Linked DNA regions of Tribolium castaneum. The protein of the gene in region 2 purifies or fractionates together with the protein of the main gene of each other region. This does not show direct contact. Links are inferred from orthologs where the notes say so. Each region holds a gene or a part of one and is shown on either strand. Other genes may lie near its edges. The genes, in order: Dcr-2 and RISC-loading complex subunit tarbp2.

Region 1 (4,507 bases), on a different chromosome or scaffold from region 2:
CCAACGTTCCATTTGAATCAAAGAGGGGAAATTTGCACAAATCGGGCAACGGTTTCGGCGATAACAAACCAAACTTTAACGGTGTTTTGTACAGGTCGTAAATAGTGACCGCGTTTTTCAAATCGTCGCTTCTTTTGTATTGCGGATTTATGTTAATAGTGTGCAAATAGAGGACTCTGTCCGGCTGGATTGCACTCTTCACACTCGGAGCGATCTACAACCGCTCGCAAAAATTAGAATTATTTCTTTTTGAAACGGATCACTTGCCTCTTTATCGTGCAACCTCTTCTTTTTCTTATTTCCGGCGTCGCTTTCCTTTTCTTGTGGCCAGTGCGTGAAAAGATAGGAAACATCGGCTTCATCCAACTGCTTCTTCCATGGCAACAAATTATTGTCAAGTTCGCCGCACTGGTGTAGCTTTATACATGCGACTAGTGCGGCTGCTCTTTTTGCGTCTTTTTTGTTGTGCATGTAAGGGCCCTAAATATTCATTTACAACTCGAAGACTGTAAAAAAAATTACTTACGACAATGGGGTCGATAAGAGGGCACACAACGGGCAAAAATATCACAACCCGCAATTTTGCGCTGCTAGAATCCTCTTCATAATACCACTCAGGGGCGTAAGTGGTGTATTTGTCACTTGCTAAATTACTGCAGTAACGGCACAAGAGAGCTACGGCCGAGGTCATGTTTACTTGTGCCGAATTGGGGCCGTTTACGTAGTAGGGCTCAAGCTTGTCTTCATTATACATGTTGCGGATTTCCGACAAGTTTGGATGATCTCTTTCAGAATTTTTGCCGATGAGAAGCTGAAAACGGGGCACTTGTTTACTAAAACGCATGGTAACAAGGGTACCTGCCAAAGTAACTTGGATTATTTGGCAGTTTTAATTTGGAAGCAAAAGCCACTACTCACATCATTCACCAGGTTTTCGATTTCCTTGAAAGCGGAGTATTTTTTATCGTACTTTGCTACGTCAGTCGTTTCTACAATGGTGTAGTATAAACTTTTGATATGTCTTGCGCGTCCTTTCGACTGGATATACGAACGGTAGTCCTCCGATTTGTCGAATTTGATGACGAGAGTGCACTTAGGTATGTCCACTCCCTCCTCCAACACGTTCGAGCTGACCAAAACGTTGATTTCCTTGCTGACAAAGCTGTTGAGCACCTCTCGGTTCTTTTTTGTTATATATAAATTCTCTCGGGTGTCGTTGTAGGGATTATTCTTATTTCCAACGACGAAATTTGACTTGATATGATAGAATTTGGGATCAACTTGGCTAGCTTTGTCGATAATGTGGTGGAGGACCTTGGCTGTGAACCGCCTTTTGGTGAAGACTAAACAGCAAAGTTCCTCGTCCGATTTGGTTTTGTATTCGTCCAAAATTTCAAACACTTTCAGTACTTTGTCAGAGGAGAATTTTCGAATTTTTTCGAGCGGCTCATAACCGGCCATGGTTTCCTCCAGAAGTAGTTTTGTCGTCCCCATTATGGTCATGACGTAATTCAACACTATGAAGAGTTGGTGGTTCTGGCAGTGCTTTTTTATACGTTCTATTTGGATCATATGCGCCACACAGGCAATGTGACCACCGAATGCCCCTAACATTTCAATGTGAATCATTAGGTCTGAAATCAAGTTTCTCAGACTTTTCAACACATCGGATGGCTCAAGCGGTTTCAAGGTTTCAGACTGTAATAAATTCACACTGTTTTGCTCATCTTTGATATTAATATGTTCCAAATCATTTATCAGTTGACGCAAGTTGTTCAGTACTTGTTTGGCATCAAGCGACAAAGCGCCCGGCTGGCAAACTTTAAATAGTTCTTGCGGATTGGTCGAATATCTAAGACAAAGTGGTGAATTTTACGCGATTTTATTGTTGGGAAAATACCCAACAACTACGTCTAATCCTTCCACAGTGGCCACTTTACTGTGGAAGGTCACCTCCAAAGACCTTATTTCATCCATGACTTTCGACAATTTGCAATTGCCATTTAATAACGTGGCTGTAAGACCAAGAACTCGAGGCTTGTCGGTACAGCTGTGGAAGTGTTTCATTATCTGGCGCATTGGCTGGTCTTCCACACCATGGTGGCATTCATCGAAAATCATCAAGTTTACTTTTCCCAAATCTACAAATTTAATTAAAAATACTGGTTACCCACACTATGTTTTTTCCCAATAAAAAATTATCTACCTTCTTACACTTATTGATTTATTCATTATTTTAAATATTCCATTTCAAATCAAAGCAAAGGGGCAAAGATTCAGGTACTTTTTAATAAAAGCAAAATTTGCGTTTAATAATTACATTTAATTCGTTTAATGACCAAGGAAATTCGCCATTTGGAGATAAATAAAAAATACGAAAGCTTGTAGGCATTGAAAGTTGTATTTTGCGGGAGAATGGGACACCTACCTATGAAGCGGTTGTTGATGAGATTTACCATGATTTGGCTGGTCATTATAACAACTTGATACTTATTAAATTGCTGTTCCCATTCTGCCTCGCTCCAAAAATCCACATTCATCTCTCCAGTGTAAGTTCCCACACTGAACGTGGCGTGGTCTCTTACATACTTACCATGTTGATCCACCAAAGCCACAGAATTAACCAATATAACTGAAATCTTTCCACCATCGCTGTAGGGTCTAAACAGTATTGCCTCAGATTAAAATCGTACTTTGAAGCAACAGAAATACCTCAATATGGGGGCGCACAACTGCTTCAAAACCATTATTGCAATAAAAGTTTTACCCGATCCAGTCGGTAGATAAATAATTGTGTTTTCCCGAATGGCAATTTCCATCAAATTGACTTGGTAGTTACGAGGTTTAAGTTCGTCTTCTTCGTCCATTTTAATAAAAAGTTCTTAAAGCGGGGGCGAAAAAAATTTTTTTGGATACGTGTTCACACTGAAAAACAGCACTACTGGCATCTGGAAATATTTTGCAACAAGGGGAGTGATTTTAGCTTAAGCCACGTCATTGACAGTAGGAAGACGGGGGAATCCCCGGGAGGAATTTCTAGAACTTTCTGAACTAAAATGCGCAGGTAGCAAATTTTATTTTTGCGCATTTTCCACTTGAAAAATTCTTAATAAATTGTGAAATTTATATAAAATAAATCAAAATAAATAAGGACTTAACCTCGCCAGAGTAACAAATAATACGGTTTGTAATCATTGTAACAATACTTAATTACTGGGTACTTACATGAAGATGATAAGGAGATGAATGAGTGAACACAATTCTTTAAAAAAAACTAATTTTTTTCTGACATTTCACTTGTTTTTCCACTTGTGAAAAGTGGGGTGGGGTGATATTGGAACACAGGAACTACTGCAAAAACCTAATGGAACTAACTCGAATAATATTTCGGGTTTTTAATTGATTGCCCGTTTTTCACAAAAAGTACAAGCAACATTAATAAGATAACTGAATAAATACTTACTATTTATTTAATTAAGCTTGTAATACATTTGTAGTAGATCAAAAGTTAGTAGCTACGGTAGCTTACAGTAGCTCAGTTTACTTAACCAAGAAAATTTGTGTTTGAAATGTGTTCTTTCAACGCTAATTAAAATGGAATCATCCAAGGAACTGCTAGAAAAGCTCTTAACTGACGAAGTCTTGGACAGTTTAATTCAAGACACGGCCTGTTTGCAAACTTTGAAACCCCTTCTTGAAGTCAAGCACGAACGGATCATTGGGGGCCAGTGTGAGAAAATCACCTTGTCTTTGAACTCCCTTTACGACAGTGATGTAGATGTAGATTTGGCAGCAGAAATTTTAAAACGTGCTTTATACGTTACGCGAGATAATACTCTTTTGTCGCAAACCCAGTCTTTCTGCTTAAGCAAATTGCAGTCAAGTCGAAGCCTTGACGAACTTTATTACTGTTGCAATTTGTTAAACGTACTTTTTGAGTATTATAAGAGCGAAAAACTGGCTCTAATGGAATGGAAAAGTGACGAGTTTTCCAATGGGATTTTAAATACTTTGGTAGCTTCATCAAAACCTTTGTTCACTTTTGTTACGATTTATTTACTACCTAACTACTTTACTGTGTGTAGTCGGAACAATAAGAATTTGTTTTTAGAAAATGCGTTTAAATTTATCAGGGATAATAAAAGACTGGACTTTTTGTGTGTATTGTGGGCCCATTTCATTCCTGTTGATTTAACTAGCAATAATTTCAATGTTTTGAAAGTTGATGAGTTTTGGAAACTCGTAATCGAGTCTTTATCAACCCAGTCACAAAAACAAGCGATTTATTTGTTATCCAAAAGTACCGAAATTGCGTTCAAACCCGAAAATATCCCCCACATTCCCAATTACCTAAAAGTCGAAAATGAGTCTGAAATTGAAAAAATCTGGCGCAACTATTTCACTCTCCTCGATGTTTCAAACGAGAAACAGTTGCATTTTATCGAGCCTTCTTTGCACATGTTGGGGTCCATTAAACATTTGCAAATTGAATGGAGATTATGCTTGT
Region 2 (4,299 bases):
TACTTCAAATTGTTGCTCGGACGCAATTTCATGCAAAAACTGAATGAAGTTGAAGTCTTTGCTGTTGAGAACTATGTTCTGGAAACGATTTATACAAATGTAAAAACGATACAATTTTCGCATTTTTGCTAAATCAAGTAGTTTACCTGCAACTCCTTTAGCTTCGGCCCATTGGACTGCTTGAGGGCTTTGTGAAACTGTGACACCTTTTGGGTGTGTTGTATGTTGAGTGTCGGTATTTTACTATCTTTCAGACCACTGTAGCGTCCTTGTAAGTTACACATTTTCGCCGCCAACTACAAAATACGTCATTGAATTGAGACAGATTTGCTCGGGATTATTTTTACGAATTTTATTCATTTCAATTTTGTACAGCGCGCTCTGAAAGATCGTAAAAATACCTCAGCAAGATCCAATTTTTTATTAACAATAAGCAAACACAAAAAGCATCCATGTCTGAAGAAGGAAAGCCAAACGAAAAAACTAAACTAAATCAACAGAAACGTCTTACCTCTTCATCGTCGTCGTAACCTTGCGGCAGATTATTGCCCTCTAGAGGCATATCTTGCAGGGCCTGCCACATTTTGTGTGCTGCCATTCTTTTAGCTAATTTTTTTGACTTGCCAGTACCGACTTCTTTGAATTTTAACACTTGACAAGCTATCGTGAACTGGCGTTCGTGTGGAAGACCTTCCTCATGTTCCATCTCATAGGACGGTGGAGGCCATCTCCGAGACATGCACATCTCCTGGAGCCAACCGATAGGGTTCCCCATAACTTTATCATCAAACGGAGACACCACTTGAGCTGTACTGAATACAATATTTCAAATGTTAGACGTTGCGATTTATTGGCCGTACGGATACCTAAAAATTAGGATACGACACGACGTACAAATAAATTCTCCTTTCGTTTTCTTTAACAGCAGTAAATTTAATTTGGCAGTATTTATATAACGCAAAAAAAATGGGAGTTTACGTAAAATACGTAAAGAAATTTTCAAATTTTACGTAAATAAATTTTTTTGCAAATATTTGCTTTGATTTACATAATAACCGTATAAGTATATTAATTATTGCGATTTAAATTTGCGTTTTTTGTTAAAGAATAAATTTTGTCAAATAATGAAACATTAGGAAAAATACAAACTGTATCGACAACAAGAAAGAAATTTTCTTAAATGAGACAAGTTTTCATTTAACAAATCGGCCAATATGTGGAACAAATCAACAGAAAAAGGACAATAACTCTATTAAAAAATTCCAACTTTTTCATTAACGTTTTTTTATAAAGATTTTTGTTAAATAGTAAGTAAGCTAAATCGATCAAAATCAGCCAAAGAAAATGTAAATTTAAAAACATACTCTTGTGATGTTCTTCAATGAGTTCATAAAATTCTCTTACAATATGCGACTTTTCTTTGCAAAGTCATGTGTATGTGTGTGTGTGTGTATGTGTGTGATTTGTAAGTTCATCAAAATATAGCCTTATTTTCGTATCAATTTTAAACTAAACCTCAAGTAGTTCACAGACTAATCTAACTATATTTCATAAACTTCTCGAAAATAGTAAAATGTGCAACAATAAAGGAAAGAATATGTTTTTTAGCTCCATTTTATGTTTGATTGAATCACCAGCAATAGATATCCAAAAAAAAAATTGAAATTCGTTTCGCCTCCTAATATTTAGTTTTCCGTAGTTATATGCTGATTTATTTACATATCGTTGGCTCCGGGAGTCCCGTTAGAAGCGTTGGCTTGTTCTGGACTCTGTTTGCCGACCAAAACATCAAGCAGATTCTTCGCAGCAGCGTGTTTGGCGTCTTTTTTCGACCTCCCTGTTCCAGTAGCAACCAAATCGTTATTAATAAACACCCTGTAGCGGAATATAGGTTCGTGAATAGCCCCCTCGATTTGGACTAGTTCGTACTTAGGCGTCGCCCCACGACGACTTAATAACTCCTGAAGTACTGAAACAGGAGTTTTGGTCGGCAACGACGCCATCTCCTAAAACTCAGTTAGTATCAAAAAAAAATTATAATAATAATTAGAAAAATCGCACCAATTTAGCCTCTTCGCTCAGAGACAAGCGTTCAGCCTGCATTCCGTGTAAAGTATTTCTGTTGTTTTTCCTCCTAGGATGGACGTTGTGTATTTGACTTGAGGAATGCAGAAGCGTCATATTTGGGTCCATGCGAAATTGCTGAAAAGAAAAATCGTTGCAAGGTTTGACAATTGGAAAACTGGCGCGAATAAAAAACCGACCATCACCACGAGAATAAAGGCATAACAAATCCTCGATTTTTTTAAATTTCTTTACCTGTTCAACTGGCGGAGGTACAAACATCTCGCCGCTTGTCGGCCCTTAATTTCCGCTTCCCGTACTGAAGAAAACGAGCAAATTATATTCCATTCGCCCTACACAACTCAAAGATTTTAAATCAACAACACAAAAGAAAAGAGAGAGAAACTGGTAACGGTTTCAACAAAGCGACCCCTTCGCATTCACACCCCTAAAGCAACGGTCAAAATTTTTAACTAAAACTATTAGTTTCGGTACTTAAAATACAAATTTACTCCAAATTTTTTTGTTATTATAATTTTTGTAAAAAGAGCCGGTAAAGAAGGTTCATAAATATTCCACTAACAACCCATAATTCGCAATAGACAACACAACTCTATTGTAGCAAAATTATATGTAAAACAGTAAAATTACTTACAATTATTTAGAATTTTTTATTACACTTTGAAATACAATCGTCGCTATAAACACTGTAATGGCGACGTTTTTTGATGGACACAAACGTCAAATGGTTAAACAGTTCGCATGCGAAGAAGTAACATTCTACAGTAGCGCCACTTAGCGGGAATTCGTTGCTACCAACTTTTGTTCTTTTTAGAAATCCATAAACGACGAAAAATGTGGTTACCAACATGAATTTTGGTCATTTCACTATTTTTTAATATTTGCAAGATAATAATAATAAATTTGATCCAAAAACAATAATTTTTACTTTTTACTGATGTATTTTATTTACAATTACACATCTCTTAACATCCTCTTGTCAAAGTAATCACAAATCGCCCAATTTTCCGCTTGAAAACTATTTAAAAATGTGTAATTTTAAAATTGTCATATTCTTAGCCTATTTACGACCAACTAGACTGTAAAAAAATCACACAAGATCCTCATTTCTGACCAAGATGCGTTTACGAACGCTTGTTTTGGTATTTGTATTTTTGTTAACATTCTCTCCAAGCTCTGAAATTATCTTCGACAGTTTCATTGCTACAAATGGTAAGAAAACTTAATAAAAAAGTTACTGTATACTATTGTGTAATTCTTCTAATTTAAAATTTTAGAAATGGAAGGAGCGCGTAAAAAGAAAAAAGGAGGTGGCAGCAAATACACTGTACCACTTCTTTTCGGAGCTTTAATGATCAAATCTATTATTTTTCCGTTAGCTTTTAAAACTATGGCCGTAATGTCAAGCATTGCAATACTTTTAAGTACTATGAGTTTAATTATGTCATCAATCGTGGGATACATCAGAATGGGACTTAAGTCTGCCCCTGTTAAAGTTGTTCATAAACAACCACCATCGCCCTTCAATAATTGGGCCAAAGATGATGATGGTAAAAATTATTACACACTCGGAGATAATTATAATTATGATTTGGTGGCACCACCACCCAGATAAGTAAAAAATATGTTATGTAACATTTATTTAACCCAAATAAAATGTTTTAATAACAATCACTTTTTCCCTTCTGATTATTAAAATGTACTGCTTCTCTGTTGTATTGTATGGCTATAACTGGTAATTGTTTGGAAGCTACTGATTTCTAGGAAACGTGAAACGTCAGACTTGACGTTTTTAGGTTATTCCTTTTAACCTCGCATTTTTTTGTTAAATATAAAAAAATGACTAAAAACTATTTCTTTATAATAAAAAATGACTAAGTAAACGCGTGACTGAACGTAGTAATTATAAATTAAACTTTATCAGTGTCAAATTTATAAATCGCTGGATTTTATCAAAGAAGTGTCAAGAATATGTAAACAATGGCTACATTTCACGTTTTGCAAGAAGGTCCTGTAAATGCTTTAGCCTTAAATAGAGACAATACTCAAGTGGCAATTGGTGGACGCAATGGTAGCACAAATTAAAAGGAAAAATTGTTCATTCATTACAAAGCACTTATTTTTGTAGTGTTCAAAGTTTACACAATTGAAGAAGACAAATTCCGCGAAGTGTGCAACTTGCGAGCATCCAAACACCTCAATCTGAGCTTTTCT

The links.
Region 1: the proteins of RISC-loading complex subunit tarbp2 (region 2) and Dcr-2 purify together in Drosophila melanogaster (affinity purification with western blotting; 9 studies listed by BioGRID, with this or other methods). This does not show direct contact. The link is inferred for Tribolium castaneum from reciprocal best matches to the Drosophila melanogaster genes loqs and Dcr-2.

Annotation. Positions count from the first base shown.
Region 1 is NC_087397.1:4,128,518-4,133,024, forward strand, and holds the start of Dcr-2 (Dicer-2), read right to left. Parts: upstream 2,868-4,507; coding exon 2,713-2,867; intron 2,662-2,712; coding exon 2,429-2,661; intron 2,142-2,428; coding exon 1,901-2,141; intron 1,853-1,900; coding exon 919-1,852; intron 812-918; coding exon 527-811; intron 481-526; coding exon 268-480; intron 215-267; coding exon 1-214. Other genes in the region: uncharacterized protein LOC103315209, read left to right, coding at 3,595-4,507.
Region 2 is NC_087395.1:26,693,352-26,697,650, reverse strand, and holds the start of RISC-loading complex subunit tarbp2, read right to left. Parts: upstream 2,865-4,299; 5' UTR 2,720-2,864; intron 2,426-2,719; exon of another isoform or gene 2,418-2,425; 5' UTR 2,347-2,417; coding exon 2,320-2,346; intron 2,203-2,319; coding exon 2,062-2,202; intron 2,007-2,061; coding exon 1,720-2,006; intron 813-1,719; coding exon 512-812; intron 297-511; coding exon 147-296; intron 79-146; coding exon 1-78. Other genes in the region: GATOR2 complex protein WDR24, read left to right, coding at 4,066-4,156, 4,214-4,299.